2 linked regions of the Macaca mulatta genome follow. The protein of the gene in region 1 purifies or fractionates together with the protein of each later gene. This does not show direct contact. Links are inferred from orthologs where the notes say so. Each region holds a gene or a part of one and is shown in the gene's direction. Other genes may lie near its edges. The genes, in order: INSRR and HSP90AB1.

The links.
Region 2: the proteins of INSRR (region 1) and HSP90AB1 purify together in Homo sapiens (affinity purification with mass spectrometry; 3 studies listed by BioGRID and IntAct, with this or other methods). This does not show direct contact. The link is inferred for Macaca mulatta from reciprocal best matches to the Homo sapiens genes INSRR and HSP90AB1.

Annotation. Positions count from the first base shown.
Region 1 is NC_133406.1:110,077,028-110,080,831, forward strand, and holds part of INSRR (insulin receptor-related protein), read left to right. Parts: intron 1-149; coding exon 150-276; intron 277-2,450; coding exon 2,451-2,689; intron 2,690-3,089; coding exon 3,090-3,257; intron 3,258-3,393; coding exon 3,394-3,589; intron 3,590-3,794; coding exon 3,795-3,804. UniProt on the Homo sapiens protein: Receptor with tyrosine-protein kinase activity. Functions as a pH sensing receptor which is activated by increased extracellular pH. Activates an intracellular signaling pathway that involves IRS1 and AKT1/PKB.
Region 2 is NC_133409.1:137,866,811-137,871,182, reverse strand, and holds the start of HSP90AB1 (heat shock protein HSP 90-beta), read left to right. Parts: upstream 1-1,492; 5' UTR 1,493-1,592; intron 1,593-2,991; coding exon 2,992-3,138; intron 3,139-3,750; coding exon 3,751-3,957; intron 3,958-4,060; coding exon 4,061-4,220; intron 4,221-4,372. UniProt on the Homo sapiens protein: Molecular chaperone that promotes the maturation, structural maintenance and proper regulation of specific target proteins involved for instance in cell cycle control and signal transduction. Undergoes a functional cycle linked to its ATPase activity.

The DNA of each region.
Region 1 (3,804 bases):
ACACGCGCACCCGGGGGAGGGGTGCTCGAGGGGGGACAGCCTGAGAAGTTCTCTTCGTGGTCTCACTGGGAATGGGATGCCGCGGAGTCAGGGTGGGCGCTCAAGCAGCTGGCAGGCGTGGTTGAGAGCAGGCCCCTCTTCCCACCCAGGCCAGACTCGCACCCTGCGCTTCGTGTCCAACGTGACGGAGGCAGACCGCATCCTGCTACGCTGGGAGCGCTACGAGCCACTGGAGGCCCGCGACCTGCTCAGCTTCATCGTGTACTACAAGGAGTCGTGAGTGCCGGGGGCGGGGCCGGAGCGGGGGCGGGGCCGGACGAGGCCAATTTCTTAGGGACCACAGGCAGGTGAGGGCGGAGCTCAGCGAGGCTATGAAGACCCAGTTGTCTTCAAGGACCCCCAAGTTGTACTCCGTGGTAGGGTCCAGGTCTGGCTCTCTCACCTTCTTCATGCCTCCGTGCCTCGGTTTCCCCTCACCAAGTGAAATGGAGAAGACAGGGCTTCTGAGAGCCCAGGAGAGCCATCGTGCTGGGAAGGCTTGGATCATTAAACTTCAATTCATTATGCTAATGTTCTACACTGACCACACGCTCCTGCCCCAGCAGCGGTTTGGGGAGCGCCCACTAATTTGGCCAGTTTTATGAGCAGCTCTGCCAGCATTTCATTTAAGCCTTAGGAAGGGAGGGAGCAGGGGCCGCCAGGGACCACACTGCTCTTTTCTTTGGCGAGAGTCAACTGACCCTAACAGTAAGGATAGTGGTTAGACCACAGGAAGGACTTCTCCAAAAACACGGCTAGGAATCAAAAGGAGACATCCTTAGAGGAGGCAGATGGATTTCGAATGTAGACTGAGAGAGCAGGAGTAAGGAGTTCATACTCTCTCTCTCTCTGATAGATAGTATAGAAGATGGAGGCCACCTGGCTTAGAAGCATTTCCTGTGAATTAGAATGGAGATAACTTAGCTGACCACCAGCTCAGGGTCTGGCTTGGGAGGACAGAGGAAGGAAGTCAGTTGTAGGAGACCCACTCAAATGGCCAAGACTCTCCTAGGTCTCAGTGGTAGGTGAAGGTCTCTAGCATGGGCAGCTGGAGAGTTTGTTAAATACAAATTCCTGGGCCTCACCCTCACTAATTCTGATTCAGTTAATCCTGAGTAGGGCCCAAGAATCTACATGTCTAATAAGCTCCTAGGAGATGTTGAAGCTGCTGGTTTGTGGACTGCACTCTATGGAGCACTGGCCTGACTACAATGTGAATCTCCCCTGGCTCCCCGGCTTGGGCACTTCACAATCGGCACAACTATACACAGCTGTCTCTGGGCTCAAAGAGCAGAGAACCTTGGGAGTCCTTCAAGAAGCTTCCCTAACATCACTGCCTTGCAGTGTGGCTGCAGCTATGCTCCCTCAGAGACACACACTGCAGATCCTGCCCAACCCTGACTCCAAACAGACCCAGACCTGCTCAGTGTGTCATGCCTCACAGGACACCTGCTCCCATGACACCCACTATGAGCCCCTGCGCACCCCTCCCCAAGATGCTCCTGGACTATCCTGCTTATAGGTCCCAACAAAGGCAGGCACTTCCAGCTGGGCCACAAGTTCCCCCATCACCACCCAATATGACCTCCCTCAAGTTTTGTCCCTGGCTCGACATGAATTCCATCACCCCCTTCCCAAACCAAAGAAACAAATATCATGAACATCAGTGTGATGTTCCATTGTCTCCCGTGGTCTATTCTGCTATCTCCCATGTGGGTCCCACTTTCATCTCCCCCAGGGAGCCCTCTTCTACCCCTAAAGCCAGTGATGCTTCCCCAAGCCCTGCCCCGAAACTGGCCTTCAGGCAGCCAGCACTAGTTGCCTCTGGCCCCTTAATTTCCCTGTGGCAATGGATCTTGGCCTTTTAGGGTCACGGACATGTTTGGGAGCTGTTGAAGCTAGGAACCCTCTAGAAAATCACACATGCACCAAACTTTCCCTATAGTTTGGGAGGCTCATAAACCTCCAAAGTCAATTCAAGGGCCTAAGTGAAGATACTGGGAAGGGAGCAGTCTCCAGGTCCTGGTTCCAGGCAATTACACTTATGGGAATTAGGATAACCTTATTGCTTGCTGTTTCTAGGAGAGGGGACTCTTTCACACACACTTTCTTGTTTTATTTATACAATGCAAGATTTGTTCAATATTCATTGAAGCTAGAGCTCGATATTCCCTGCTAAGGATGAGGAGATACATCATTACAAATTTCCCTGACACAGATATCAAAGGCCGTCCCCTCCCCACCTTTGCCAGGGTCTAACAGGTGGCTGGAGTCATGGCTTTGCCCTCACACGTACTGGAAGAAGGACAATGATAGTCCTGGAGTGATTCAGTGCGGGGGAGGCGGCGGGGAGGTGCCAGAACTTGGGGGTGGGGTTGAATGACCCCTCAGCTCTGGGGATGGGTGTTCAGCCCATTCCAGAATGCCACAGAGCACGTGGGTCCAGATGCTTGTGGAACCCAGAGCTGGAACCTGCTGGATGTGGAGCTGCCCCTAAGCCGCACCCAGGAGCCAGGGGTGACCCTAGCCTCCCTCAAGCCTTGGACACAGTACGCAGTGTTTGTGCGGGCCATCACGCTAACCACTGATGAGGACAGCCCCCATCAAGGAGCCCAGAGTCCCATCGTCTACCTCCGAACGCTGCCTGCAGGTAAGCATTTGGAGGGCGCAAGAGTCAGTCAGACGCCTGCATCCATGAGAACAGGGGAGCACAGACATCAGAAATAGAGAAGCCGCAGCACTGAACACCTGGCCCACAGAGGCTGGGAGGCCAGATGCTTGAGTCCTAGAAAGAAGAGGGGGCATCTGCCTAGGTCCTTGCGGGGCTGGGATTGGGACAGTCCAGAGTCCGTAGTTGAGGGAACTCAAGGGCCTATGGCAGAGAAGGGGAGGACAGAAACAAAACAGTGAGTTCTAGGAAAGCAGAGATGAGGATCACCTATTCTTCGGGAGAACAGGGCTGTTGGACCCCAGAGAGAGGGGCTCATTACTAGACAGTATTCAAGAGGAAGCCCCACAACCCCTGAGTTGCATCCTTCTCGCACTCCTAGCTCCCACGGTGCCCCAGGACGTCATCTCCACGTCCAACTCCTCCTCCCACCTCCTGGTGCGCTGGAAGCCACCCACCCAGCGCAACGGGAACCTCACCTACTACCTGGTGCTGTGGCAGCGGCTGGCAGAGGACGGCGACCTCTACCTCAATGACTACTGCCACCGCGGTGGGCAGGGACGACGCGCAGGCCGGCCGCGGGGCGGGTGGGGAAGGGAAGATGGAGGCGCAGGGCCGGGGCAGATGGGGGAATCAGGGGCGGGTAGACGGCCTGTCTTACTAGTGTCTTCCCGCTATGGCGCCAGGCTTGCGGCTGCCCACCAGCAACAATGACCCGCGCTTCGACCGCGAAGACGGAGATCCTGAGGCAGAGATGGAGTCCGGCTGCTGCCCTTGCCAGCACCCACCTCCTGGTCAGGTTCTGCCCCCGCTGGAGGCGCAAGAGGCCTCGTTCCAAAAGAAGTTTGAAAACTTTCTACACAACGCGATCACCATCCCCAAGTGCGAAGAGCGCTCGCGGCCTGGGCCGGTCTGATGGGTGGGGCCTGTGAGGGGTGGGTCTTGCTGGAAGGGTGGGGTTTGTGGGCGGAGCCTTGCTTGTGTGGGCGGGGCCCGGGTTGTGGGTGCTTTTGGAGGCAGTGCGCGCTGCAGAGGGCGTAGGGATACACACGGACAGGCCTGATAGGGCTACCCCTGGCCTCCCCAGATCCCCTTGG
Region 2 (4,372 bases), on another chromosome or scaffold:
ACATGAACAAAGCTTGTTAACGAATGTAGACTGGGTAACAACAGGGCTGGTGAGGGAGGACGACGTGGGTGGCTGTGGGGAAACTCTTCCCAAGCATCCTAGGGGTGGGCCAGGAAGGGGACTAGATGGACATCTACAGGGCACAGAGCAGGGAGCGGCTATTCTCTCCTGGAGGGGCTGTGGGTCCAGCAGGCTTTCGGATGACGCCTTGGAAAGGCAAGGACAGCTTGCCGACTGGAGGGCAGGCAAAAGGGCGGAGACAGGCCAGAGACGGCGGCCGCAGTTCACTGACCAGGAGTATGGCCTAGGGGTTCTGGTGCCAAGGCTGAAGGGGAACAACTTGGCCAGCCGCTCTCTGGCCGGCGTCTTCACGCGGCCTCCAAGAGCTCCTGTTGCCCTGCAGTGGCTCCTAGAGACTCCCTCCTTCCCACGTCCAAATAGCTGCAGGAGGGAAGTGGGAGAAAAAAAGCGAACCAGCTTGAGAAAGGGCTTGACGTGCCTGCGTAGGGAGGGCGCATGTCCCCGTGCTCCGTGTACGTGGCGGCCGCAGGGGCTGGAGGGGGTCCCTCCCGTAGCGACTCCAGTCTCAGAGTGCAAAACGGTACGCCCGCAGAGTCGCCCCAGGTGCTTGGGTGTTGTGTGATTGACGCGGGGAAGGAGGGGTCAGCCGATCCCTCCCCAACGCTCCATCCCATCCCTGAGGATTGGGCTAGTACTCGCGTCGTCTCCGACAGGTCAGAGCCGGTCCCCGGGTGGGGTCGCTGCAAAAACCCTGCTCTGGCCGCAGCCGGAGAGGCGGAGCCCCGCGGGGAGGGGGCGGGCGGGGGCGGGACCGCCGAGACAGGCCTGGAAACTGCTGGAAAGCCGCAGCGCCGCCGCGCCTTCCGCCGCATGCCGGCAAAGAGTCCCGCCGGCCCCGGCCGGCGCCCTCCCCCCACGCTGAGATACCCCACACTGCGAACCCTCCGCCCTTCCTCTGCTCCTGGGAGAGTCAGGATCTGGGGCTAACCAAGGTCGGGTCCCGAATGCCAGTCCCTCTGTCGGGATGCGAAATGTGTAGGGCATATGCTAGGAAGAAGATTGGGTATGGGAGCAGCGGTCGGAGTGGTTAGCTGCCTCGGCTCTTTTTAGGTGTTTCCCCCGGGCTCTGTCCTTGGGTGTGGGGACTCCTGCCTCACAGGTTTTTAGGGAGGTCAATGGATTCCTCGCCCGTAGAGACACCGTATATGCCAAATGAGCACTCCTTATCCCAGCTCTTGATGGGGTCAGGTCCTAGACATGAAGATATGGGGCTGTGATCACAAGCAAACGTGTGGGTGGATCCGTTGCTTGGGTTCTTCCCCGCCCCCTCCTTTTTTCGGACCATGACGTCAAGGTGGGCTGGTGGCGGCAGGTGCGGACTTGACAAGCATGCTCCTTTAAGGCGGAGGGATCCACGGGAGGGCGGCTGTTCTGTGCTTCGCCTTATATAGGGAGACTTGGGGCACGCAGTAGCTCTCTCTAGTCACTCCGGCGCAGCGTTTTGTGCCTGGTAGTCATCAGAAAGCAAGCCCACGTTCTTCTCTAATACGTGTAAGCCTTTTCTTTTCAAGGTAAGGCTGAATTCTTCGTTAGGCTTCTTTAGTGCTCTTTCGTGTTGCTCTTGTTTTTTTCTGTCCTTTAGGGAGCCTAGATACCGGGGTGGCTTGTGGATAACGCCCTGGATTTTTATAGGGTGAGGGTAGTGGTAGGTGAGGGCTCTTGAGTTTTCCTCGGTTTTCTCTAGTGTGCTTGGGCGGTGGGGCTTTCTCTTGGCTCCTCCTAGCCGTAGCGAGGTGGGCTGTGGGGCTGGGGCAGTGCGCGGCGGGCAGCTGCACGTGGTGGCCGCGCGGCCCGGGACGCTGCCATTTTTGCCCCTCCACTTCCGGACGCGGCTATAGGGCGTCGGAGGGGGACCGCAGGATGGCGGGGGTGCCTGCTCGGGTGACTCAGCACGGCCCTGTGGGACTGGCTTTGCCACATCTCTTATCGGACGCGTTGTTAAAGCCGCCTTGGGTGCTTTGTTTCTGTGAGGGTTCATGGTGTGGGAGGAGCGCTTTCGGTCTCCAGCACCCCATACTCCCTCCTTCCAGATCTTTATTGCAGTCCCGGTGGAGGAGGGTTGGGGAGGGGGGCAGGTTCTGGAAGATTCATGGGCTCCCTCCTCCGCCCGTCCTCTAGAGCTGAGATTGTTCTGGAAGCTTCTGGATTCTGGCGCCCCGCCCCAGTGCCCGGATGCTGGGGCGAAGGAGGGTGCACGGCGGCGCCCCCTCCTCGCGTGGTCCCTGCCGACGCATGTCCGGCAGTGACGAGTGTCGGCCTGGTGGTTACGGCCACCATCTTCCTTCTGTTGGGTTTGGGCCTGTTCTGTAATTTTGTCCTGTGAAGGGGTCGTAGTGGAGCTTTTGGCTTATCGATTCTTTGTCCGGATTTAATTGCCCCTCGGGCGGGTATCCTCTGGATCCCAGGTTATTCCTCCCTGCAGTGTAGGGTAGGAGTGTCCCGCCCTTGGGCTGGTCTTAGGAAGACATCTCAGGGGGAGCAGTTTAAAGTTAGTGCCAAACTAGTTACTTTGATCTCCAAATGAAGAACTGTAGGTAGCGATTTTCACATTTAAATTTGTGTAAGGATTATCTGGGATCTCTGGATACCTGGGTTGGACCAGCATTATGAGTTTCTGCCATACTACCGGATGACGCTGAGACTGCTGGTCACCACTCTAAGTAGCTGGGTTCTGTGACATTTGGTTGAAGAACATTCAGCTTATTTTCTTTTTCCTTCTGAATTTTCAGGCTTCCCACTTAGTGTGTAGCCTGAGATCTTTTAAGAGAATGCTTTTTCGGTCTTTTCGGAAGGGATAGTACTCAGGTCAAACCAGTCTCAACTCTTAAGGTCCTAACAAATGAGATGACCTTTAGGATTTTAAAATGTGAGGCCTTCATGTTTTGTAATTAATGATCATTTTTATTTTAGATGCCTGAGGAAGTGCACCATGGAGAGGAGGAGGTGGAGACTTTTGCCTTTCAGGCAGAAATTGCCCAACTCATGTCCCTCATCATCAATACCTTCTATTCCAACAAGGAGATTTTCCTTCGGGAGTTGATCTCTAATGCTTCTGATGTAAGTGCTGTGGTTTCTATATTTGGTGTGTTTATTTTTTTGACACTCTTCGTAGAGAGGAAAGGAGTGGTTTGGCCTTTGTTGGGGACTACTATTGAAGGGGGTAAACTTGCAACTATTCCAAAAAGATTTGTCTTATTCTCTGGCCATCTTGAACTTGAAAGGGAAGTGACTATGTCCAGAAAAAGTGGGCTCATGTAACTAACTGTAGTTCTAAAGCCTCAAGATAAGGGGCAATCAGATTTGAGGCTGAGAGAGGTAAACCAAGATTTTCTTTGAAGACACGGGCTTTAAGAAAGCAAAAGTGACCGAGCGTGTTGACTCACACCTGTAACGCCAAGGCAGGAGGATCACTTGAGCCTAGGATTTCGAGGGCAACCTGGGCAACAGCCAGACCTTGTCTCTGCAAAAAATTAAATATTAGTTGAGCACAGTGGCATGTGCCTGTAGTCCCAGCTACTTGGGAGGCTGGGGTGGAGGATGGCTTGAACCAGGGAGGTCAAGGCTGCAGTGAGCTGTCATCCTTGCTACTACTGCACTGTAGCTTGGGCAACAGAGCAATTGCCTGTCTCGGAGAGAGCAAAAGTAAGTTGCTGTTTGTATTCGTTTCAGGCCTTGGACAAGATTCGCTATGAGAGCTTAACAGACCCTTCGAAGTTGGACAGTGGTAAAGAGCTGAAAATTGACATCATCCCCAACCCTCAGGAACGTACCCTGACTTTGGTAGACACAGGCATTGGGATGACCAAAGCTGATCTCATAAATAATTTGGGAACCATTGCCAAGTCTGGTACTAAAGCATTTATGGAGGCTCTTCAGGTACTGCAGTTCTGTAGGCATACACCATTCATATTCATCAGTGTTCTTTATTTTTTTTGCTGCTTTAAATTTTGTGTTTGACTTTACAAAAACTTGTTGGCAGGCTGGTGCAGACATCTCCATGATTGGACAGTTTGGTGTTGGCTTTTATTCTGCCTACCTGGTGGCAGAGAAAGTGGTTGTGATCACAAAGCACAACGATGATGAACAGTATGCTTGGGAGTCTTCTGCTGGAGGTTCCTTCACTGTGCGGGCTGACCATGGTAAGTTAGCTTTTCTGTTACAAGGTAGCTGGGTTAGAGTTTTGTGGGCTCACCAGTAGCAGAAATTTTGAGCATCCTGTCAAGCAGTTCTTCATAGCAGTTCCGCTAATACTTTATTAATTTGGTGAAGTCTCAACTGCATATACTTTCGT